3 linked regions of the Neodiprion lecontei genome follow. The protein of the gene in region 2 purifies or fractionates together with the protein of the main gene of each other region. This does not show direct contact. Links are inferred from orthologs where the notes say so. Each region holds a gene or a part of one and is shown on either strand. Other genes may lie near its edges.

Region 1 (6,764 bases), on a different chromosome or scaffold from region 2:
TTATTCAGGACATATCATAATCTTATCATCGTTATACGTACACATACGTATATATCAATCTTTTCCGGCGATAAAAAGTGGAGAATTCCTGACGTCCGGATCCACTGACTCATTTACACGCATTTGCACGCCTATTTTATGTATTATATACATGATGTACGTATTTATTAATGTACCGTTAATATGAAGGATAAAATTCTCCTCCACGTCACGCTCACGCATACACTATAGATTATATCTATAATGTATTACATGTATAGTATATTTAAGAATTGTGGAAGCCCAAGTCTCAATTATAAATTCTAGCACACTTATTTCACTTTACTTTTAAAAAATTCGAAATTCGGAATTTTTCTAATGAATCACAAAATTTCAGTGATATTTCTAATTCCAGTTTTTCGCGGAAACTTTTTGCACAAATTATGGAATTTTTGATTTTCAACGTACACTGTACGAAATTTATATGTATATGTGCATTCATACTATATATGATACATACATTCATGTGGTGTCATATGTTCAAAGGCGTACAATAAGGGGAGTTATAGACAGAGTCGAAAGTATCGTGTTTTGATAAGATAAAAAAGAATTGTTCGGTGATTATCTAATTGCCGACACGTTTTGTTATTATCGGTCTATACAGCCTGATGACGTTCAGGCCTTTACAATTATCAAAATAATAAACAGACAGTATTGAACATGATATTTGAACAATGACGTCGATTGAATTCAATTCGCAATTGCTCGTCTTTATTTACGTTGAAATAATTTTATGCTTCCACTTTTTCCTTAATATTTAATTATTCGGTAAATGTTTTATTCAAATTAAGAAAATCATTGGCAATTTTTCGCAATTTTAGAAAAAAAAAATTTCTTCATCAAAACTTAACGGGCTTATTATAAAGACTTGGTAAAAATGTCTGACTAGAAACTTCTTGAAAATCAATCGACGAAGCTGACAACCTAATATACAAATACTTCAGAGATTTTATAGAAAGATTTTGAAAAAATTTCGCATTCTGTAACGTAGGGTTCGACTAAACTGAATAGACAAACTGTATAACATAGTTTGTGCCTAATAACTTTTTACGCACAAAATAATCACCATCGAATAAAAAATTGTCAAAATTGACTCTGCTTTAAATTGTTCTAGGTGTAGTAATGTTCAACGATTGGTTACGCGCGGCTCACTATTTTTTTTTTTTTTTTGGTAAAAAAAAAATTGAACAAGTTTTACTTTCTAGACAAATTTACGTGCCAATGACCGATGAGGCAAAACTTAAAACTTATATAGAAAGAAAACTCGTTTAAATTTTCATTCCAAATAAATAGTGAGCCAACAGTAACATTCGTCAATGCCTTAACCTCCCGGCTAACTTGTTTTCGGTCCGAAACAAAACTGCGATTTCGATTCTACACGACTTACGTGACAATGACTCCCAATCACTCGCGTCGGCGGCATCGCCAGTCATTGTCACATAATTCGTATAGAAACGAACTCGCATTTTTTTTCGGACCGAAAACAAGTTAGCCGGAAAGTTGAGGCATCGACGAATATTACTGTACGTAGTCCCTTAATTTTTTTAATTGTGCGCGTGTTAGAGCATGCCGACGAAAGAACAAACCTAGGATTCGTCTGGGATCGTCGGAAAATAGGCTCGCTCAGTTGTTCAAGCAGGAATCGATAGTCCCGTGAATCCATCCCCGAGTCGCCGGTGCGGGCGCGACCCCCGTTGAAAATTCGCGGAGGAACAGATCGAGGTCAAGTTTTCTATGCGTCTATCTACGAATACGGATTTCATGATCCGCACGTTTTTTCTTTACGATATATATTCGAGATTCAAAATATTCGTCTGATTATTTCCTACAGATTAGAAAAAAAAAAGAACAAAAAAAAAGAACGGAATTCTCTCAGTTTGGTTTATTATTCTTAAGTGTATTCCAAAAAATTACCAGGATTCGAACACTTCGTGTGCACAGTAATAATCAGATACCTTTCCGAACGTTTTCATACATTTTCAGCCTTTCAAAATAAGATTTGAAAGAGAAAATGTTTTGGTTTTTTTTTTTTTTTCATAAAAAAATATAACACTGATTATAATTCGTCACGTGCGATGATGGACATTATTTTTATGGAAAATTTGCAGAATCAACTGTGCTCACTTCAGAATTTTAAATAATTTACGAATATTTTATGCGTCTTTAAAATAAAATTATTTACAATTTATACATATATGAAAATCTTCTGAATTAAATTTCTGATAATACCGCAAAGAAATATTCTTTTAATTTTTAGGATCGTTTGAAATTTATTTCGAAGTGATGAAAGTTTTGTGAGTTTATCGAATCATTTACCAATTGTTGACAAAGATTGTTGAAAAAACATTTTCACCAGGGGATTGCTTCAAATCGTCGGAAATTTTCAAACACAGCTAAATAAGTTTGGATGTCCCAATTAAGTCGATACAATTATTGTTAACCTGACATTGAATGCGTTTCGCAGAATACGCGTTTGCGAAATTTAAATGATAATGTTTTACATCAAATTTGAAGACGGTTAAAATAACCATGTTCGACATCGGTGTAAGACTGGTTTATTTATTCTTCATCCTAGATTCCAGAATACCAAAGCTCTGAATGGACGAAAAAGCTCTCGCGTCAAAAACGTCAATAACTCATCTGGGTCACACTTTCCTCTTTAATTTCGTGGAAATAGTTGGTGGAAGAAAACGAGATTTAATGAAAACTATCTATAAGGTTACAGTTATGTTTTTCGAAGTATAGAAATAAATTTATTGTAAAAAGAAGCAGGAGAAAAATGTAATGAAATAAATGTTAGCCATATCTTTTGTCCTCTCCTTTTCAAATATTTATTTACTACCTATTAAAACTGCTGAATTTCATTTCACAATTATGCATTTTTGTATTAAAAATTGATCACTTTTCCAAACACTCTGTAGTTTTATAAAAAGCAAGCTTCTTCAAAAACCTACCTTGACATTTTTGTCAAAATTCGTTATAATACTTTAACATCATCAATGGGTATTGTAGATTGATTCCGTAGATATTTTTAGTACAAATTCCAATTCCAATTTCTTGAAAAAATTTACACCGTATTTCGGATCCTGGACAATGGAAAATAATTGAACACCACAAAAATGCAAGAATGAATCAGATCCTTGTTAAAATATAGTATGAAATAGATTTCAAATATTCTCAAGCTGCAATTGAATCGACCAGCTGCGTAATCAAGGCATTGGTCAGAACATATCAATACAATGACTAATTGCGAGCGATATATTATTTTCCAATCGGTGGACGATGAGCGGAAATATGGATCGCCCAATTGAGCCTAACTCAGAATTATAAACGATAACAACAATAAGCGTGTAGAGAAAATAATTTCGGAGCAAATCGATATCGCAGCTTTCCTCGCGAATTGCACCTAGGTAAACATCTCGTCATAATATGCGGGAGTATAATTCGGCCGGCCAGCTGTGTGTGCAAATTCGAATTTTCTGTCTTTCGACCGGTTCCGGTTTTATTTCTGTTGTTCCACGGAGACTGCGAGAGTTAAACGCGTCAGTCGATCGTGTCGACAAGACGAATTTGTTTTTCTCATATTCCGAAAACCGTGTTCAAAAGTCGAGGATGAAAGTGTACGGGCGTGTGCGAATGCGATGAGAAACAAGCGAACAACGAGAAACCTAAGAAATATATGAATTGATCGATTAATTTTGCATCCGCGAATTCGATCCACCGTTTACCTTAACGTATAATTCCCTTGTCGTCATGGTGGCGATGGATAAGAGTCCAATTTCCGTTGCTGATTCTCACTAAATTCCATTAATCCCTTGTGTATCCTCCGCGTAAAGAGCGTCACAACATTTTGGAGCGCGAAGGTTTCGTTCCGAGTTCTTTAACACGTACAAAATCGACACCGATTCTATCGCGACTCACTATCAGCCTTCGGATGGCTTGCGACTCACAGCTGGGCTTGTGGCTTACTATCGGTTGGCATTGTACGCCTCATGCTCTCCCCACTTCCTCCATTCCTCTCCTTTCCTTACCCCCCCCCACAGTAGCCTGGTTTCACACAGGTGATGAACCTATCTACAGCGACAGGTGTCGCGATCTGTTTTGACTCTGCCGAAGTCGATTGGGTCCAGAACGCGTCGATATGGACTCCAGCGACAACAGACGTTGGGTGTATCGACTTGCATTGGTGCAGGAAAATGCAGGAATCTGTCGAAGTATTCTTACAAGATACGATTAGCACGAAAACTTTTCTTTGTTGCGTATTTTCATCACACATTTCGTTCTGTTCTTTCCCATTTTTATTCGACATTTTTTTATTTTCGACAATCCTGGACATACCTATGTATCATGTTACTTCGGAACTAAGGTGTCATTTGGTGGCAGTGAATATGCAACACTAATTGTGATGGTGTCGTAATTAGTGTATTTGAAAGTGTTTTTTCACCGTATGTTTTTCTCTATGTCGATTTAGCGACTTAAAATCAGAGTCGAACAACTTAAACGACGTTTTCTGCGCTCCGTTTAATTAGCCTCAAATTATCAGCTGATCGCTCGACGCGACGCCATATTGTTCTAAACCGAATATCCCAATAATAGCAATTTTCGAGCGATCAAAAAATGAAGGAAAGAAAATTTTACCGACAAACTTGATTAACTCAACTTTTGTATACAATATACAATAATCACTAAGCTGCAACCAAAACATCTGTCGTGTCAATATTCAATTTGTTTTTTTATTGACAAACTTGAACGCGATTCATTACACGTTTCATACCTACATCTCGATATTATAAATGTTAAATAGGTACACACGCAATGATGAATAAAATAACCGAGAATATGATGGCAATTGTTTATCGAAATAGAGTAGAGTGGATCTGATTTACAGGTGTATAATTCATTAAATGTCATTGATTAACCTCACTTCAGTTAATTTTCTAGCAGTAATAATCGGATAAAATCATGTCTGAGCAATAGTGAATTGTATAATAGATAAATACGTATTGGAAGTGAATCGTGTGACTTGAAAAATGGCTTTCTTTCAATTGACTTTGAAAGCTAGGCGGCTTGAGCAAATGAAACTTCTGTATCAGGATGAGAAAATGAGATCTATAGAAGTTTCTAAAGGAGCCAAGATCCATTACACATTTAGGCAGAAGATTCGTTACAAAAAGAAACTGTATGTTATCAAGTCTAATATGCCGAGTAAATATTTGGTTATTTTTATTAGTCACGATTTGTCAATCGTCCCAAGAAATTGAGTCACTCGAGATTAAAGTCCAAGACATCGGTAGGAAAAAAACCCAAACAGAAAGAGGGAGCATTGGACAGCTTGGACTTTACTGTGATCAAGCAGCTCTTCTTCATTGTTATATGTGTATATGATTTTTGGAAGCAGAGTTACCAGTTGCTTTGCATTGGAAACCGCCGTTTTACGAAATTATCCACTCTGATTCAAAGTCAATTCGTCGTGGGTTCGTCAAAAATGTTAAAAAAAAAACGGCGGAATCTCCAGCTGCTTTTCCAATGCTTCCTCGGTCAATGCATTTTTTTGTCGATTTATTGGACTTTAACCCTGCTGCTATGATCTATTGCGACGATAGCAAATTTAAAAAAATGTTCTTCCCGCCTCAGAAATGTATTTTTTCCCTGCACAAATCCAATTCATTAGCATTCAGCTAACGAAATCTGTGCAAAAACAAATTTGCATACTTTCGATAGGAATCGGTGATTTCTTTTTTCTGATTTCTAGCCTGATATTAAGATTCAAAAATTGGCTGAAAAGTTTGGCATCTTGTCCAAAGGATTCTTGGTTTCACGAAAAGGCAGTTTTACTGCGAACGGATGGAACGTTTGAAAATTACGTCCTCAAAAGCGTTCTCGGATTTCTTGGTGGAATATTCCTCACCTACATGTTCTTCATGTTTTTCATATTCCAATTGAACTTCACCCTGTCATCCGCAACGCTGTTCAGCTCATTTTTGGGGATTATTCTAACCATCGGCTTGGCGTTTTCCAACCGTGTCAGGTATTCGAACTATATTTTTTCTCGTGGTATTGGGATATTTGATGCTGGCCGCAGGGTTAATCACTCGTGAAATCTGGTGTAAACTTTTCCGGAAATCATGTGAAATTTCCTGAAATCTTCTGAATTCTCTGGAAAACTTTTAAAATCGTCTGAAATCTCTTGAAATCTGTTGAAACTTCGGAGATTTTCCTTTGAAAAAATTCTCTGAAATCCCACGAAGTCTCTTGTAATCTTTTATAATCTATGATTTTATTCCGATTACTGTCATATGATTCGAATACTTTTGGTAATTTGATACAAATTTTACAGAATTTCGCTGTTCCAAATATTTTCCAGTTAGAAAATTAAAAGTAAAGATCATTATCACTTTGATAAATGATCAAAGGATAGTATGAACACGCTATAGAACTCAGCTTCTTGACGTTTCGAACTACAATTTAACGTTGAAACCCACCGTTTATAACAGATGTGTAGTGTTCCTACTCCTGCCGCAATTCTTCTCGAAACGTGGACGCCAAGCCCTTATGGCCTACGCTTTCATACTGGCATTAACTGGTCCAGCAAAAAATACGTTAAACAACATGGGTGTATTATCGGAATCGCTGGCTTGCGGACAAGTAATCAATAATAATTATAGTTTTAAATTACTTACACAACTTGTTTTACCGAAGAACGGGGAAAAATAGTGATAAGAAAA
Region 2 (8,040 bases):
GAATCGAGCTCAGCTCCTAATGAAGCTGAAAGTCAAATCATTCATGAAGATACAGGTTCTAAATACGAAAGAACTTTCATCACATTTGAAAACGAACGACTTTTTACGGAAGCTTTCAAACGTACACCTGCTCCTCGCCCCTCACTAAAATCTCTTTGTGCAATTACAAGGTAAGTTACGGCCTTTCGACATTGATGTATTACTCCTGAAGGTGATTACTTTGAAATAATCAGGTACTAATACACTATATTTTCTGAATGATTTTAGACTTCCTGCACGGTATATGGATCCAGTGACACAGCTACCGTACAGAAATATACAAATGTTTAGAATATTAAGAGAGGCGTATTATCAACAGCTGGAATCTCGTGCAGAGACAAACGATGCTACTCAAAACCTTGAATTGGTACGGTGGCTTGAATGGCGTCAGAAAAATCGTCGCAATAATAACAGAAATACGATTCGTCTGGAACCCGCTTCAGTGTCGCAGGCATCTTAGCTGATCCTTCTGGTCAATCGCTATTCCTTGTAGCATTGAACAGTCTTTTGTCACATCATTTGACATGACACTGGATAATTATTTTATCAAATGCCTGCTTCAGTATTTTCATACGAAAATGAGAATGAAAATCGAAAAAATCGAAGCAATTTACACCACTTTCCCTTTCGAAAATATGGAAATTGCTTCTACTCTGTTGGGTAGATGACTTCCTTCGAGGGATTTTAAGAATTGGGATTGGATTAAAAAATATCTATTTTTTAAACGAACGGAACGAGTTTCAATGGTTTTTATTGTTTTTTTTTTTTTTCTTTTTTTTTAATAAAGCTTTGCCACTTCACATTAACTAGTAGAATAAGTTAAAGTTTTTTTGTTTTCATATTCTTTATTGCTAAAATGCAAATTTATCATTTACCTACATGGATTTAATCAGGAAACCACAATCAGCACTAAGACGTTTTCTATTTGATACAACGAAAGAGACGTCTTTATTTCAATATGAATAAAATTAAATGTGTAGAAAAAAAAAATTAGGTATGTAATTGTAATTAATAATAAGGTTAGTAAATTACGCATATCATAAGGTTTTCATAACAGTGTGTTTAATTTTTTAATTTTTTCTTTCTCAAGATTTTTTTCCTTCATTTCTTCTAAAGCATGTTTTGTATAGTAATTAGGAGTTGTTAATCTCTCGTGTAGTGCGCGAAGCCTAGACATTTCAAGTTCCACAACGTGTTGTTCGCTGTTGCCTTTGCTTCGATTTATTTCATTCAGTTCCAAGTCATTCTATTTTACGACAAAGATGGTTCTCGCAATCTGCAACGCGTCTACACGCGTATCAAACCAATCAATCATTTATCTGTACATGCTCAAAATGTCTTCCTGGTCGCAATCTTAAATTAAATTTAAATGTCTACGTGAAATTGTTTATTATTTTTTTACCTTTGTTTTTTCATTTTTTAAATTAATATTTCACACGTTTTTCTGGACACGAAGCTGTTTGTAAAAAATAAAGTCGAAAAGCATACAGTTTAGTGCTTGCGCGTATCATTTTATTTTAATTCTACTACGTGCGCGCGAGAGCAAGTAGTGATCAACATGGAGTCATTCCCATCTTCGTCGTTTCGTCTTTATTGATATTTAGTATTTTCATTACGACGTCTGCTCTGCACAATTATCATTGTAATTGTGTTATTATTTATAAATTGTTTATAGTATATGTACTCGTGATCATCACACTATGCGTAGAGAAGAATAATTATATATGTATTACAAAGAAGCGGTAATACAACATTTAATTATCATAACGTAATATATATATATATATACATACATATATGTATAATAGTGTAGATATATATGTGTATATATATGTATATGTATAGTAGTAAATAAGACAAATTTGAATAGAGGGCAGAATGGTGTGCCGGCCACGGTGAATTCTTTATCTTGTACGTCGCTTTTTCGGGAGAATTGAATCTTTTTCTGCCATTTAAACCAACAGACCAAAAAAAGATCTTCTACACCTATACAAGATCGAAAATATAGTCTTAGTCCGCGTCCTACCACGCATCCGCTGTACCTACCACCAGTCACCACTCTCTCCCTCCAGCCCACCATGTAACCGCTTCTGAAAAATTGGAATGATATCAGAACGCTCCAGAAAGTAAGAGGAAACAGGAGAAAAACGTCCTTAAATTAGTAAAATGTAAGCTTTTGAATAGTTTGTGTCAGGTAATGGTTGGAAATTAATCAGATAAAGAATAATTAAATAACGAATGACCATAATAGAATCAATTTCACAGCGCCACTCACATAGAAAGCAGTAAGGCGAGTCACTGGCAACACTGCTTGCGCATTCCGTCAGCATTCATCGTCGGTTTAACGTCGATTGGCTCTACGTTTTGCGGCCGGATAGTGTCACCTTCGGGAGGATCTCTAATTTGTTTCTGAGAAACGATTCTGTAGATTTCTGAAGAGTTGAAAGAATGTATAAGGAAACGTAAGACGATTATAAGTTTTCAAAATTTCGTATTAAATTGAAACTGAATTCTTGTCATGTTACCTGTTAAGATATTCTGGAAAGCGAGTTCAACATTGGTCGAATCCAGAGCGGATGTTTCGATAAAAGAGAGGCCATTCTTCTCCGCAAATGCCTTAGCCTCGTCGGTAGGAACTGCTCGTAAGTGCCTCAAGTCGGATTTGTTGCCCACCAGCATAATCACTATGTTCTGATCTGCGTGATCCCGAAGTTCTCGCAACCATCTCTCCACATTTTCATACGTCAAATGTTTTGCTATGTCATAGACCAATAATGCTCCAACTGCTCCGCGGTAGTACCTGTCGTACATCCAACATGTAATACAAATTAATTACAAACAGACCAATCACAAGGAACAATAGTCAAATATTCCATAATCATATACGCACGCTGAGGTAATAGCTCGGTAACGTTCTTGTCCAGCAGTGTCCCATATTTGAGCTTTGATAGTCTTGCTGTCTACTTCTATACTGCGCGTAGCAAACTCAACACCTATGGTCGATTTTGACTCCAGGTTGAACTCATTACGTGTGAAGCGTGAGAGCAAGTTACTCTTTCCTACTCCTGAGTCTCCGATTAGGACAACTGTAATCAAACACAATTGTCACTGGAATTACCTTGATTAATTTCCCCCGTGTACTCGAATGGCATTCTGTTACCTATCAGAATTGTTCTAATTCTTCGGTACTGACTTATGAAAGGAAATTAATTGACCTCAAGTTCTTGAGATCTCGATCAATTACAGATGTGCTCTTAGACTCTAGAATCTAAGAAGAATTGATTTCAGTTGCAATCAAACGGTGCCATGAATAGAGTAATATATGCAAATTAAAGTTGATATGTGCATGTGCGGTAACAGATTCAATGGGTTCTACATCGAATATATGTAAGTAGGCGATTGTCGACGACGAGAATTCTTTACTCATTTATTAAAATTATTTCGGTGTCAGGTCGCGCTCGTTGTATAGCAGGAGGCAGGACAAGCCTGTAAACATGTTACGAGCAGACGAACAAATCAAGTGTGATAGCGATAGTACTACTGTTGGACATGGACAAAACAAAGATAAAAAGATGCACAATAACCTGTTCCGTCACAAAAATTCTCAGTACCAGCGTGTTGGAAAATAAATGTGCAGAAAATTTTTCAAACTGAACTTTCATCTCTGTGAAAAAATTATCATAAAAATAATTTTCTAAAGTTTGACAAAGGTCATTGTTAACAAAGCAACTCATATAGAGCCGAGCACAAGCATTAGTCAGACTAGAGGGAGGCTCAGTCATGTTGTGACACAGTCACATTACTTGATTACGAGTTATACGTAAATGAGGACTACAAAGAATAGTAAAAAAGAAATGATATTTGCTGACGTCATGATTATTTATTGTACGTTGTACGCAAAACGGGAACTTATAATCAAAGTAATTCGGGAACGTTCGATATTTCGTGCGAATGGAACAAATAAATGCCATCAATGATATTGTCGAAAGATCGCAGAGTATCTCCGCGTTTTGAATAGCGTAAACTATAAATAATTTCATAAGGTGGCAAACATATTCCGTTAACGCGGTTCCTGCAAACAATAATCTGTTCGCGGTCGGAAAAGCGATAACGGTTAGTTTCCTCGTGACGGAAAGAACGCAAGTGACGTACGTATGTGCCAATGTCACTTAAATCAAGCAACAATACAACAACGCGTGAAACATGACTATATGAGAAGAGTCCTATGGAGTTCCGAGCCGCGTTCGTCGGAGGTTGGCAAACCGACAGAGGATAGTCGCGTTATGGCTCCGTCGCTTGATTATCGAGTTGCGATTATGAGTTTATGATTATTCAAACGGGTACAATTACCTTTGAATAAATAATCGTACTCGTCGTCTCGAGTCCCCATCTCCGCGGTAGCAACGAACTCCTCCCTTGGTTTCGTTGCGGACGACGACGACGTTTGTTCCTCTACCTCCGATCACGGATACGCAAGAAATATTCCGACGTCGCTGTCTGTATTTATTTTACAAAAGCCTCGTCGTTTTAGGAGCGATTTATCGATGACCACCGATTACCGATCGGTATATTATTTAGACAGGCTGCACGGGTGTTTACTTGAAAAATTACTGTGACTGGACGGTTCCCAGTCTAAAATAATACAATTAATTATTTTCTCCCTTTCAATTTAACTGTACAATATGGCCTCCTTTCTACGCCCCTCCAAACCGATATCCCGCGCTTGCGCGGGACCTCGAAACAACTCCGTAACACGCATGCGCTGCGTTATTGCGATGACACGATGATGAGCAACGTCAAAATGACAGATCGCGCATATATTGCATGCTTTTTGCTTTTGTACAACTCGCTTACATCGACATTATTCCGCAGTCTCAACTGAATTCAGAGAAATCCGAGAACGGAATTGAAACGCCATAAAGTTCCCTGTAATTTAGCTATCAAATAGACTTTTTTTTTCGAATTATTATACTTGGTAATCAGTGTCCAATAATCACGCGGCACATGTCCAGCGATGACACTTCAGATAATAAATGCTCTGTTCCGGATTGATAACTATCGAGACATTCCAACCCAAGGCGTGTCTGTATAAAATGTTGTACGATAGAATTCTATAGCTCCGTTAAAACGAACCATCAATTTGCTGTTTGGGCAAAAGATTGAAAATGATTTCCTTTGTCCGTACGATTTCAAAACCCGAATTCCCGTTTTTCCCCCGACCGTGATTTCATTTTCAACCCACAGCTGCATCGACGAATTTATTCTGCGTATAATATATAATGTACAAAGTAGATTTAACGAGCTTTTGGATTATATAAAGCTTTGATAAAATCTTCATTAAATGTCAATTTAAATAACGCGTCAAATATAATTATTTATACACCGCTTAATTGACTAGAGAATTGAAATATTCCTGGCTATTTTGGATGGTTTTTGGAACGCGCGCAAAGTACGCCGGCGATAAGTGGCGCCGTCTCGTCCAACGTCCGCACCTCGCTACACGATGGAGTTCAAGTCCTTTCCTTTTCTGTTTCGGATTGCAAGGGGTGAGTCGGACATATTGTTGAATAATCGTAATTTATCCAGGACATCACAGCTTCCAGTGAACTTCTATCGTTCGATTTTGCACCATTATACGTTTACCCTCAATCTCTCGGTAATAGTTTGCAATTCTCAAGGCAATACCAAAAAGTCTTACTCCGTTTGTGCTTTTAGGTTATCCAGCGCACAAGTGTATCAATTAATCGTACAAAGCTAGCGGCAAATATATTCTGTACCAAGCAGCGAACAGCAATTGTTTCTCTTTGCTTGATATAAAATATTTTTACTACCTTCGTCAAAGCTGATCTGATCTGATCACTAGCTAGTCTATTTTTATTTAATTAATCATTAAGTATGTCTAAAGTTGACAGTGAAACGCATGTCGTACGCGTGCACGGTTGTTTCGTTCGACTGGGTACGGAAATAGTACAACTTTGTAGTTTCCGATATTTTTATGATGATTGGGCATGCACCACTCTGACCCTGAGTGAATTGAGAAAAATTACCCTTGTTTTTTCTGAAAAATATCCGCTTATTTGACATCATTTTCGTATGTTCAATTGAACTGTTATCAAGAGAACGTTTTTTTCTTACACCAGGGAATCAAGATGGGTGCATACAAGTATATGCAAGAGCTGTACCGTAAGAAGCAGAGCGATGTGCTCCGTTTCTTGCTTAGAGTTAGATGCTGGCAGTATCGTCAACTCACCAAAATGCATCGTGCACCCAGGCCATCTCGTCCCGACAAAGCCCGCCGCTTGGGTTACAAAGCTAAGCAAGGTATTTGCGCAAATTTATATTTTTGAATGTAACAAAATTCATATTTCTGTCTTTAAAATTTATATTTTCTGTGATGAACTGTACATGCACCACTCTTACTGAACCGTGGGGATATGTACTGTCTGATGAAAAGTTTTAAATAACATTGTTTGGTCTGGGTATTTGATCTACTCTCGTTTAATCTTTAAATATATTGAATATTAGTAAAATATCGTTTTACAAATTCTTACAGGCTTTGTCATCTTCAGAATCCGTGTGCGTCGTGGAGGTCGTAAACGCCCTGTACCCAAAGGTGCTACCTTTGGTAAGCCAAAAAGTCACGGGGTGAACCAATTGAAGCCCACACGTAAACTGCAGTCCATTGCTGAAGTAAGAGTCACAATATCAACTTATAAATCTGCAATAATATGAGAGAAAAAATTAATTCAATCTTGCAATAATGACCTCACTCACCATGTTTCTTACAGGAACGTGTTGGTCGCCGCTGTGGTGGACTGCGTGTGCTGAACAGCTACTGGGTAGCTCAAGATTCGTCCTACAAATACTATGAAATCATTCTCGTTGACCCTGCACACAAGGTAAAAATTTGTATTGTGGTAATTGTAGAGTTTTCAGATATAGACAAAAAAGAGATATTTTTTCTTTTTGCTACAAAAAAAAAAAATATCATGATTGCCCCCAGTGACATGATGATATCATTATTTTAGCATTGAAACTGATGATGTTTTTGCTTCCTTGGATGTCTGATTACTGGGTGGCCTATCTTATATTACATTGTTAATATTTTGATTTATATCTTTGCGTTCCTAATTTTTAACGGCATATTATTCTCCACAGGCAATCCGCAATGATCCAAAGGTAAACTGGATTTGTAACTCGGTACAAAAGCATCGCGAGCTGCGCGGAAAGACCTCAGTAGGCAGGAGTTCACGTGGATTAGGAAAGGGTCATCGTTATTCGCAGACGATCGGTGGATCGCGTCGCGCCGCCTGGTTAAGAAGAAACTCACTCTCGTTGCGCCGAAAGCGTTAAGCACGTGCTCGGCGTTATATTTTTCGGTGTTTTTTCGAGCGAGTCGTGGTCCGTTATCGTACACACGTTATTCAGCATGTGTTGGTAGCCGTCACGAGAATAAACACCATTTTACAATAAAGTCGCAGCGATATTTTTCCTCTTTTACCCTCTACTTGATAGATTATTTTCGGTATGAGCGAAAAGTTAAGATTATTCTAGATGTCATCGACGTGGATTCAAACCTGTCTGGATCTAAATACGAGTCTTAATGATCGAATTTCGATACAACCCCGTTCGTGGTATCAATTTCGATGATTCGCTTACTTGCTGGGTTTTGCGTTTAACGAGAACGAGCCGACATTACATCGTGGTTATCTTATCGAAATGCAATCTTACTGGTTATGTAATATGATAATACACACTTCACCCATGTTAAACTATTATTGTATAGTGCCTAGAAACTCTCGGTCGCAAAATTGAAATTTTTCTTCGGAAGATATCAAGCCGAGGCAAAATGGGACAAAATTGTTGTACTAGCGATGATTCCAACGAACACCTTCCATACCAGCCACAAGACACGATAATTTACATGGATGGACGTGAAGGTAAATCAAGAGATTTTCTTCTTACATTTTAAACCAGAAGCGTGAAAAAATATTACGTACC
Region 3 (9,347 bases), about 35 Mb from region 2:
ATAAGATCATCGATATCGCAATTTGTGGTCATGAAGTAACAACCCCAGAGCTTCATGCTTGGGCTGTGAAAAGAAATGGAATTCAGGGAATAAAGAGTAAACTGAAGTTGTATAAAGCCATAATAAGAGATACTTGGGTCAATGGAAACATAGAACAACTGGCTAAGAAATTTCACGCAAACTTCAAGTTTGATGTTGAGTCCTACGTAAGGGCGGAACATCTTTATAAAGATCTCGATGATAGTTTAGAGAAATTGCTTCAGGTACCTATACTCTTATATTTAATCATTATTTACATACTCATAATTTCTACTACAGACATGTGTTCCATTATTGACCAAAAAATTAGAAAAAATTGTGAACGTCATAACTTTGCTGCTTGCTGCTTCCATCATCTAATATTTACAAAAAACTGCTACTTTGTGTTCTCTTTGATGTAGGCATCAATATATCACGCTCATACATCAAAAGTGAGTGTATTCTGTCAAATTGTTGCAATGTCAGTGTTGACAGAAGGTGCTCCAAATTTGAATATCAACCACTATTCAGATGTAGGCATATTCCTAAGTTCCTGTAGTGATGTAGTGAGTGCTCAAGTTCCCACAGCTCTACGTAACCTTGCTAATACAATAAGGAATGGTGAAAAAGCTGAAGAATTTGTTAAGCTAGATCCAAAAGAAGCTAGAGATTGGTTAACGCTGAATTGCACTGCAGCTGCAGTCATGTTTGATGATTTTTTGAAAGAACACGGATACAGGTGCATAAGAGAATTAGATTTGATGACTGAAACATGGGATATGAAGCCTGAGAAACTAATATCCTCACTTCAAGTAAGTCATAAATACAACGAGATTCTCAAAAAATATTACTTTCAACATAAGACTAAAATATTTTGATATTTATTTATTCTGTCACTGGCTAAAAACAGGCAGCCGTAGCATCATCAGGAGAGCCACCAGTATTTAAAGAATTAAGTGTAGCCGAAACTGTAGATCGATTACGCACGCCGAAAAGTCGAGTCACAAAAAAGATATTGGAGATGCTGATACCACTTAACAGGAGTGCCGTTAGTCGCAGAGAATTGACAAAAGCTGTTTTAGTTTCCACAGTCAATGCTTTGAGATTAGGATACCAAAAACTTGGTAGACTAATGGTCGAGGATGGCCAACTACCTGACATGAATTTGATATTCTTTCTTACCCATCAGGAAATTGGTCTGTTATTTATTAGTTCAAATCCAACATTAGTGCAAAAGTGAGTATTTTGCTTATTCATTACTGAGCATAAGGTTAATTTGAAAAACAAAAAATTGTTTTTTAGAGCGATAAGAAGACAAAGACTTTATCCTCACTGTGACAAAATTCAGTTCCCGGAAGTGAATAGAGGTGTATTAAAACCTATACTGGTAAGTGAAAAGTATTTCCTGTATAATATCAGTTCACAACAATTAAGAAAGTGGTATCCTCCAATTTTTTTTTGTAATGTCTAATCTGTACGTATATGGTAATCTTAACACTATTAAATATTTATAAAAATATTTGTTCTATTTAGGCAGAGCCCAGTACAAAAATTCGTGAGGGAGGTGCTCGGGTATCAGGAACACCAGTCGGTGGAGGGACAGTCCTAGGTCGTGCTTGCATTATCACTAATATAAATGATGCTGTACAACTGAAACCTGGTGATATATTAATAACACAGTGCACCGATATTGGTTGGAGTCCCTATTTTCCAATATTGGGTGGTGTGGTCACTGAACTTGGAGGTCTCATTAGTCATGGAGCTGTTGTAGCGAGAGAATATGGTTTACCGTGTATTGTTGGTGCTGAAGGAGCTACACAAAAATTTCGTACAGGTATGTATGAATCAAAACATCTACACAAAAACAAAAAGAGTAGTAGTACACTTATTCAATTCGTAACTATCATTTTTAACAAAACCTGCAATAGCCCTTGTTTTATCCCTGATTTAAACAGATATAAATATGTGAAATAAAGCAAGCTCTACATAAATATAATTTTGTGTTTGTGATGAAAAAAGCATGTTCCAAATTGTTTTCTCTGATATTTATTTGTGTTATTTTTCTTATTTTCGCTATGCAATATTAGTCGTATTTACAATATGTATTTATAACTCTGATCATAGTCAGTTATCGTGATGCTTAGTATTATTCGTAATATCAGGTATAGACACTAAAACAAAACTTTACTGCTTCCTTTTTTTTTTGTAAACTATATTATCCACTCCTATTTACAGGTGATATAGTATTACTAACTGGAACTACCGGAATCTTGCAAGTCGTTGAAGAGACCACGTAAAGATTCATTTTTCGTGAGTGGAAATTGTATGTATGTACATAGTTTTACACCATCCTAATAATCTGCAAGTTTTTCTATGTATGGGAAGCTGTCGCATAGCAAACAAATGTATGTCTAACAGTTCTGTGTCTCTGTATTTTACAAAATATAAATAATTATACTACTATTTCAAACTGTTTGAAGAATCCATGAAATATATTGTGAATCGTGCACAATTTACTCAATAGTAAATCCCACTTGTACTTAATAGCACGTTATTTGTCTTGATAAGAAGGGATTATGCGGAGTCATGTAAGTTGGTAAAAAAATTTGTCAATCATATAAACTGAAGGAAAAGTGGTTACCAAATTTCCAAATGGAAGTTAAACTGTTGTCGCACGATTTGGATCGGATCCCTTCAGAATAATGCCGTCTGCTGAATCGTCAGCAAGACATGCAAGTTGTAGGCGCATGGAGGAAGCTACTTTGCGCAATAGAGCGTCGACTTTTTGCGAGTCCTCTTTACAGACTGGTTCAGAAATCGCATCCAATGCTTCTTCGAAAAAGCTCCTGTAGGAAAAATGTTGTATTTTCATTATGCTTCAGATTTCTACCCAAGCGAATCAGTGCCACAAATTTATTTGAATCTGATACAAATAGGGCTTCGGTTGGGATTCAAAAAAGAAAGACCAAGATTTACCCAGCTCTCGGAGTAATATAAGAGTGGACAGCACTTGTCAGTAACGTAATATCGACTCTAGCTTGAACAGCTCCTGAAGGACTAAAACGAGTTACACAAGACATCAGCCGTGCTAATTCTTCAGCAACTGTTTCAACAATGTGTGATAAAACTCTCTTCAATAAACCTGGTGAAACCCGTCGTACCTGTTTCATGAAATTACAACTATAAAATGAATCCAAATTATCTGTAATTTTAATATTTTCACATGAAAACAACGTAAATACCTCTGCATGAACTGCGATCAGATTAGTCAAAGCCTCTTGTACGTAAGGCCTCACGTGTGAGGGCTCAATGTCCAAATGCCATTCTAGACCACCTAGGTACATACTTGGTTCTATGGTACCGACAAGGGGATCACAGCGTCGTTCCAAATATGCGTCTAATACGGCACTATCCAATGTATCCAATTGAGTCCAATCGGTATTCGAACTCATGGTTAAAGACAAGGGCGGATAACCATGCTGCTTCAGTGCATCATTAACATGTGGTATTATTGTATTCAGAGTATAACGAATGTTACTCAGTGATATTAGTAAACACTGCTCCCATGTCTGTAGGAAGTGTGATAATTCGGTTGGTAGCGTTTATTGAAAACAGTAACTAGCAATGAAAATATTCAAAGTAAATTCTCACTGGCCCTTGTTGCTTGTCTCTAGTTCTATAGCCAACTGGAGAACCAATCAGTTGTGATACTGAGGATTCATCATCGTCCATAGCTTCTTCACTTCCACTGAAAGCCAGCTGTTGTAAGCATTTTGCAAAAGCAGTGAATAGTGTTTTTACTGCATTATGAAACAGAGTTTGATGACTAGTATGCGCTAGCAAAGGGAGTTCTCGAGGTCCACAAGCTATTACTGTTTCTCGAGCGAGTTTTGACACTTCCAGTACCATTTCTTCAAAAAGACCTGGCTATTCAAGGTAAGTCAAACATAAATAAACTGAATATTTCTCTTGAAATATGTAGTGCCGGAGTGTATTACCAGTCGTGTTACTCCTCCGTGTTCATTCAGATATTCAATTTTCCATGTTTCCTTACGATGTAAGGCAGTTATTTTGTCTGCGGTTTGCTTGAACAATGCCACCAAGCACTGTAACCTGAATTGAACGCAAATGTTTTATTATTCACTTTAAATCATATTAATTCACATTTTGAAACTATCAAATACATTAGAATACCTACCTAAGATCAAATAAGTATTTGCCAAATATGTCTAAGGCCTCACTGGGTAAATCCAAATGAATTAAAGACGCATACGTTTGTCGGATACGTCTCAAGTTATGAAGAAGCCAAGATGCATCCAAGTTTGTCCCACAGGCTGTTTTCATTGCATCCACTGCATGTTGCATACTAGATAGAACCAGGCTCTAAAATATCGAAATAGTATATTATGGCACAATTATGTAAAATGTAGGCATGTGTTACATATGATACTTTTTTGACATAGTATATGTAGAATAATTCGATTTTAAGCACTACTATTAGTGCATAAAATGGCACTTTTCGATGCAGTGTGTAAAATCGAATTACATGCATACTATATGAAAAACCTTATATGGAACATTTTTTTTCTCAGCATTAAAATGAAAAAGTATACCAAGTATTAAGGTTTAAATTAGAAAGTCAACAGCATTTCCTGAGTCATTATTTGAATACTCACTTTGAAGGGGATTTGTTTTTCTATATCAACAGTTACGTGTAATTGTCCTGTAAAATAACTCTGTCCTAAGCGCCATAAGTCTGGTAATTGCTCTGTGACTACATCACAAATAGCTTCAACACATAGAACCTGTGGTGGAACATTATTTTCCTCGTTTTGTTGCATTCTCAATTGTTTGACCGAGGTTGGCGTTAAGCCGTTTGACTTTGGGGTTTTACTCGAATCATCACCACCAGCGTTTTCAGATTCTAAATACTCGTTTATACAAGCTGTCACACTTTTTTCTAAATAATGAGCATGTGATGCTGAAATACAAACATACACCATTGCAGTACATCACAAAGAATTTCAACCTGTATAGAATACTAATGTACTTGACTGACCCGTGATGCCCTGGTTCATGAACTTTCCTATTGAAATTTCACATATATTTAATAGTGCATACCTATCGCATCCCATGCTGGATCACCTTCAGCTGCGAGGTTTACTAAATTTCTTATGATCTTTTTCTGCTCATCCAAAGTGACCGGCATTTCTTCTAATTTTTTTCGGAGCACAGTTCTAAGTTTTCCAATTCTAACTTCAATTTCGTTTAATACTTTTTTAAAAACTTCCAACTCAGTATTACCAAATAGATTCTTCACTCTGGCATAATCATTGATTACCAACTCATAATTCCCTCCCTTTATATTCTTTTCAATGTTTACTGGCATACAGAACAAAAATCGGTAGCGTTGCATCAAAGATAAGGCATTCCTTGTCGCATCCGCTTTATCTCTTCGAGCCAAGACATCATGAAATAGTTTGTCAGCTTCAGCCATTGAATCTTTGATAGCTTTTTCAAGTTTCGCTGTTGGATCTTTGCCATTTTTTTGAACATCTGACTCAAACTGTTCCTTCAGTAGCATAATTGTATCTAATTGCTCCATCACCGAACCAACATTCGCCTATAAATAAATAAAAAGATCAACAAATTACTTGTTGGAGAAGAAAATTAAACAAAAGTGTAAATCAGAAGATCGAATGTTGAACGAATCAAAAAGTATCTGTGTGATGTGAAATTGTCCTGTTTCACCTTGAGAAAAGATAATTGGCCCTCTTTCTGTGAGTGAACTTTGCGTCTGAGATAAGCTAATCCTGCTTTAAGATCATCTAGGGTGGTAGCATGATGATGTTGTAATAAAAACCAGCCTGGGTGAAACTTCTCACTGGCCAATTCACCGCTACCATCGCCAAATAGCTCAATTAATTCATCCTCAGGAAATTTCTTACTGAAAACAATATATTCTGATTAGATCTTGCTTCGTTACTATTGCAGTAATCTTGAATGCAGAACATTTCCTAACTCATTTCCTTCGACGCTGAGTCCTAACGGATCCTCTTGCTGATAATTAGTAGGTGACAGAGCTCGTCTTCCCCATACCAAGCTCTGCATTGGTGCTTCTTCAACCCATACAGCAGATTCTTTCATGGGTCCAATGGTTTCGTGATAGCCACGAAATTGGACGGTCGAAGTACCCTGGCCTCCATTTCTTGTTGTGACTATAATATCACCTCGCCCTTTACCTGGTCCAGAGCGGGCGATGATTTTGTTTGGGGACTTCCATTCAGCTGACAAAAGACACTCGCATCCGCAGATGGTCAAACCTGTAATAGGATGATTTTTTGGAAAATGTACAGCATGTGTATACCTGGATTCAATTTTCAATAGTTGACTTTTACAATTAATGCCAATATTTTCAACAGTGACAGTTCAATCTAACCTATCAGGTCCTGCGCTTTTGCTCCTAAAAACTCGCCCCTCAACGTCACTCGCGTTCCTGGTGGTCCTTCCTTCGGCGATATCCCTGTAACTACTGGCGGTGGTCCCATATCTGCATTGAAAATAATTTCAGATGAATCAGACAATTGTCTCCAATCAATTCCTTATTTTGTGCTTATTTTTGTGGTCAAGATCAGGTTTATCTGTCAAACCGCCCCACGATTCCAGAATATGTCAGCTCGGGTTAGATTAGGTTGGTTAAAAGGTTAGACAAGTTGATGTCAGTGTCATGTCAGTGTCAAAGTGGTGTCAAATGTAATCAGAAATCCTCTTTTACCGATTTTAGTTTGAAATCTAGCGAGAGCCAGACGGGAGCATGAGAAGTTCCAGGAAATTCCACCAGGTAGCAGTTAGTAAACTTTCAAGGCTTTCATCACTTGACTTACGATCGTGACAGTCTGACCACGGCTCGTAAGAGGTCGTAAGTCGTAATCTGGTATCTCTGGCACCTGGGTTGATGGTGAGTGTGTGAGTTTACTCCGTAGTGTGAGTGGAACATAAAGAAAATAACACGTCTCGCTTAGAAATATTTTTACGTTATGAAGGTATCGTCGTTTGACTGGAAGAGGTGTGAGATGTTGATTTTGAGTTTCGCATACTATCTGAACAATATGACGTATTCATATTGTCGACAAATGATGTTTTAATTGTTTGTTGAACTATTTTCAATCATTATCGGTGTGTCGCGATCTAAAATCTCTCTAAATTACGGTATGACACTTTTTCTTCAAGCATGCAGCCCCTCGCGAGTCAACAACCCTTAACGTGTATATCACCTCATAGAATAACATACAATTTTACTAAACATATCTTGTAACCTTCAGTACAATTGCTTTCATCGTAGGGTATTCCTTGATGTGTCAATGTTTACAGAGCCAATCTGCTGGGTAATAAAATATGGTAGGTGATGATTCACCGTTCTTAAATCAACTCCACCTTATCATCATCGTTCGTCATAGAGGTTAGTAAAGGATTTATTTTATTCATATGAATAAAATGTGCAAACCTAGTATGCCGAGTTGTGGTCCTCTACCGTTCCTGGGCATAGACACAATACATCGATTAATAAATTTTTGAGCGAAGTATGCTCTTGACCCGTCCATATTAGCGAATGCAAAATATGAGCAGTTATTTTTTTACGTAACACAACTTATGGAGTAGTCCAATTTCTAGATCCTTCCTAATCAAGTGATTGAAATATTTACAGACAACATCGAATTGCTTCTATATTATAAATATCCTGACTGTCTTTGAAAAGATGTCATATTGTCGAATGATTGACAACTAACTTTAACATGCACGCTGTAGCATTAGAGCAAATAATGGGAGACATTGACAACTCAGCTCCTTGCAATGGTACTTCTATCTTAGAAGATGACCTTGCGTTGAGTCCATCGACGTTGGGTAAGTACAAGTACTATTCCAATCACATAAATCTGAGGGATTTTTAGTTCCACTCATTTTGATTTTTTTTTCTCATAAGTCATGAAAATACTGGCCATAACTGTAAGTCCTTAACAAAATTCGGTTTTTTACTCTTTCTCTCATAACGATTGTGCTGATGCCCTCAAAACTACCCTTGAGTGAAAAAATAAGAAATCAAAACAGGTCTAATCTTTATCTTCACCAGAGATCAATAACATATGTGAAGATTTATATAAACAGATAAAAATTTCAAGAACCTGGAAATGTCAAGAGAAATCTCAATTTCAAAAAATCATTTCGAGAATTTCAGAAAACATGCATATAGGTAACTCCGTGACATATAAGGTGTATTTTTAATTCTTAAAAACCTTCAGGAAATGGAATATTAGTCAATTATTTAGTGTCTTTCTACCATATTTATAGCCATCGTAAAACATTGTATTTAAGGATAATAAATAACATAAAAAAAAAAAATTGAAACCAAGACACGCAACAGTAACATTTAATGTTTTACATGTTTTCAGTTAATCTATCAAGTAATTCATCGAGTCAATATTTCTGCTCATTATTTATAATTAATACTGATCGGTCCATAGAATTTAGATTTCAAAATAAATACATTTTGACTTATTTCGTATATAATTTATACATGGTTGTTGGTTTTATCATTGGTTTTATTAGGTGTTATATTGATATTGAACTAACATGATCATTTTAAGGAAAAATCTGTTACTAGTAACCAATTATTTTCAATCCATCTCTTTTCCTAATAAACATTTTTTTAATCATTCTTTCATTACTCACTTTTCATAGATTAGATACGTGTTCAATACTGAATTTTAGGAATGTCGAATAAAAGCGCTAGTGATTTGTTGACGACTAACAGTACCTCCGAAGTTAAGACCAAAGTGGTCTACATGAGTGAAGATGCTATGGATTGTGTATACACAGAGTCAAATGAGGCTTATAAAAATTCTGAAGTAATTGATGAGGCCCCGAGTCCTGATATGTTTGGAAGCGATACCGAAGATGCCCCAAAAAGCAATTCAGGTATTATATGAGTATCTTATAGTTGTACGGATTACGAAACAATTGTATTTTTTCTTATTTAAATCGTGTAAACAATCGAGCTTTGTTAGTTACAGACATCGATCAATTGGACATAAAACATGAAGATAGCGAAATATGCCAGGCAGACTTGGTAGCAAAATCAGACAGTGAACTACTAAACAGAATTCATGAAGCATTAAGTGGTGTTCCCCCACCTCCTTCTGTTACAATTTCCCAAATGGATTGCAATGACTTCCTAAGGTGTATCAAACAGAATAGCCATTTATTTTGGCCGAGGGGTTTATGTGAAGAGAAAAATTTTGACCAGATTGGGAGCCAAGACAGTTCTAACATTA

Evidence for each region. Proteins that work in one complex are often made in the same cells at the same time.
Region 1: the proteins of ras-related protein Rab-11A (region 2) and unconventional myosin-Va purify together in Drosophila melanogaster (affinity purification with western blotting; 4 studies listed by BioGRID, with this or other methods). This does not show direct contact. The link is inferred for Neodiprion lecontei from reciprocal best matches to the Drosophila melanogaster genes Rab11 and didum.
Region 3: the proteins of ras-related protein Rab-11A (region 2) and exocyst complex component 2 purify together in Drosophila melanogaster (affinity purification with western blotting, with the first as the bait; 3 studies listed by BioGRID). This does not show direct contact. The link is inferred for Neodiprion lecontei from reciprocal best matches to the Drosophila melanogaster genes Rab11 and Sec5.

Annotation. Positions count from the first base shown.
Region 1 is NC_060261.1:12,491,394-12,498,157, forward strand, and holds the start of unconventional myosin-Va, read right to left. Parts: upstream 4,024-6,764; 5' UTR 3,795-4,023; coding exon 3,768-3,794; intron 1-3,767. Other genes in the region: DC-STAMP domain-containing protein 2-like, read left to right, coding at 5,115-5,218, 5,792-6,067, 6,534-6,684.
Region 2 is NC_060260.1:921,927-929,966, forward strand, and holds ras-related protein Rab-11A, read right to left. Parts: upstream 4,744-8,040; 5' UTR 4,430-4,743; coding exon 4,390-4,429; intron 3,126-4,389; coding exon 2,930-3,125; intron 2,840-2,929; coding exon 2,565-2,839; intron 2,472-2,564; coding exon 2,335-2,471; 3' UTR 2,315-2,334; intron 2,130-2,314; exon of another isoform or gene 2,127-2,129; 3' UTR 1,080-2,126; downstream 1-1,079. Other genes in the region: vacuolar protein sorting-associated protein 72 homolog, read left to right, coding at 1-170, 268-499; 60S ribosomal protein L15, read left to right, coding at 5,466-5,585, 6,180-6,360, 6,593-6,729, 6,828-6,938, 7,198-7,392.
Region 3 is NC_060260.1:36,126,306-36,135,652, forward strand, and holds exocyst complex component 2, read right to left. Parts: upstream 6,778-9,347; 5' UTR 6,567-6,777; coding exon 6,458-6,566; intron 6,342-6,457; coding exon 6,041-6,341; intron 5,966-6,040; coding exon 5,770-5,965; intron 5,642-5,769; coding exon 5,140-5,641; intron 5,000-5,139; coding exon 4,695-4,999; intron 4,402-4,694; coding exon 4,217-4,401; intron 4,132-4,216; coding exon 4,017-4,131; intron 3,946-4,016; coding exon 3,670-3,945; intron 3,588-3,669; coding exon 3,261-3,587; intron 3,199-3,260; coding exon of another isoform or gene 3,193-3,198; exon of another isoform or gene 3,180-3,192; coding exon 2,995-3,179; intron 2,865-2,994; coding exon 2,678-2,864; 3' UTR 2,660-2,677; exon of another isoform or gene 2,316-2,659; coding exon of another isoform or gene 2,254-2,315; exon of another isoform or gene 2,139-2,253; intron 1,853-2,138; coding exon of another isoform or gene 1,552-1,852; 3' UTR 1,524-1,551; downstream 1-1,523. Other genes in the region: uncharacterized protein LOC107225708, read left to right, coding at 1-263, 441-830, 929-1,254, 1,321-1,405, 1,552-1,852, 2,254-2,315; uncharacterized protein LOC107225718, read left to right, coding at 7,812-7,920, 8,785-8,991, 9,081-9,347. UniProt on the Drosophila melanogaster protein: Component of the exocyst complex involved in the docking of exocytic vesicles with fusion sites on the plasma membrane.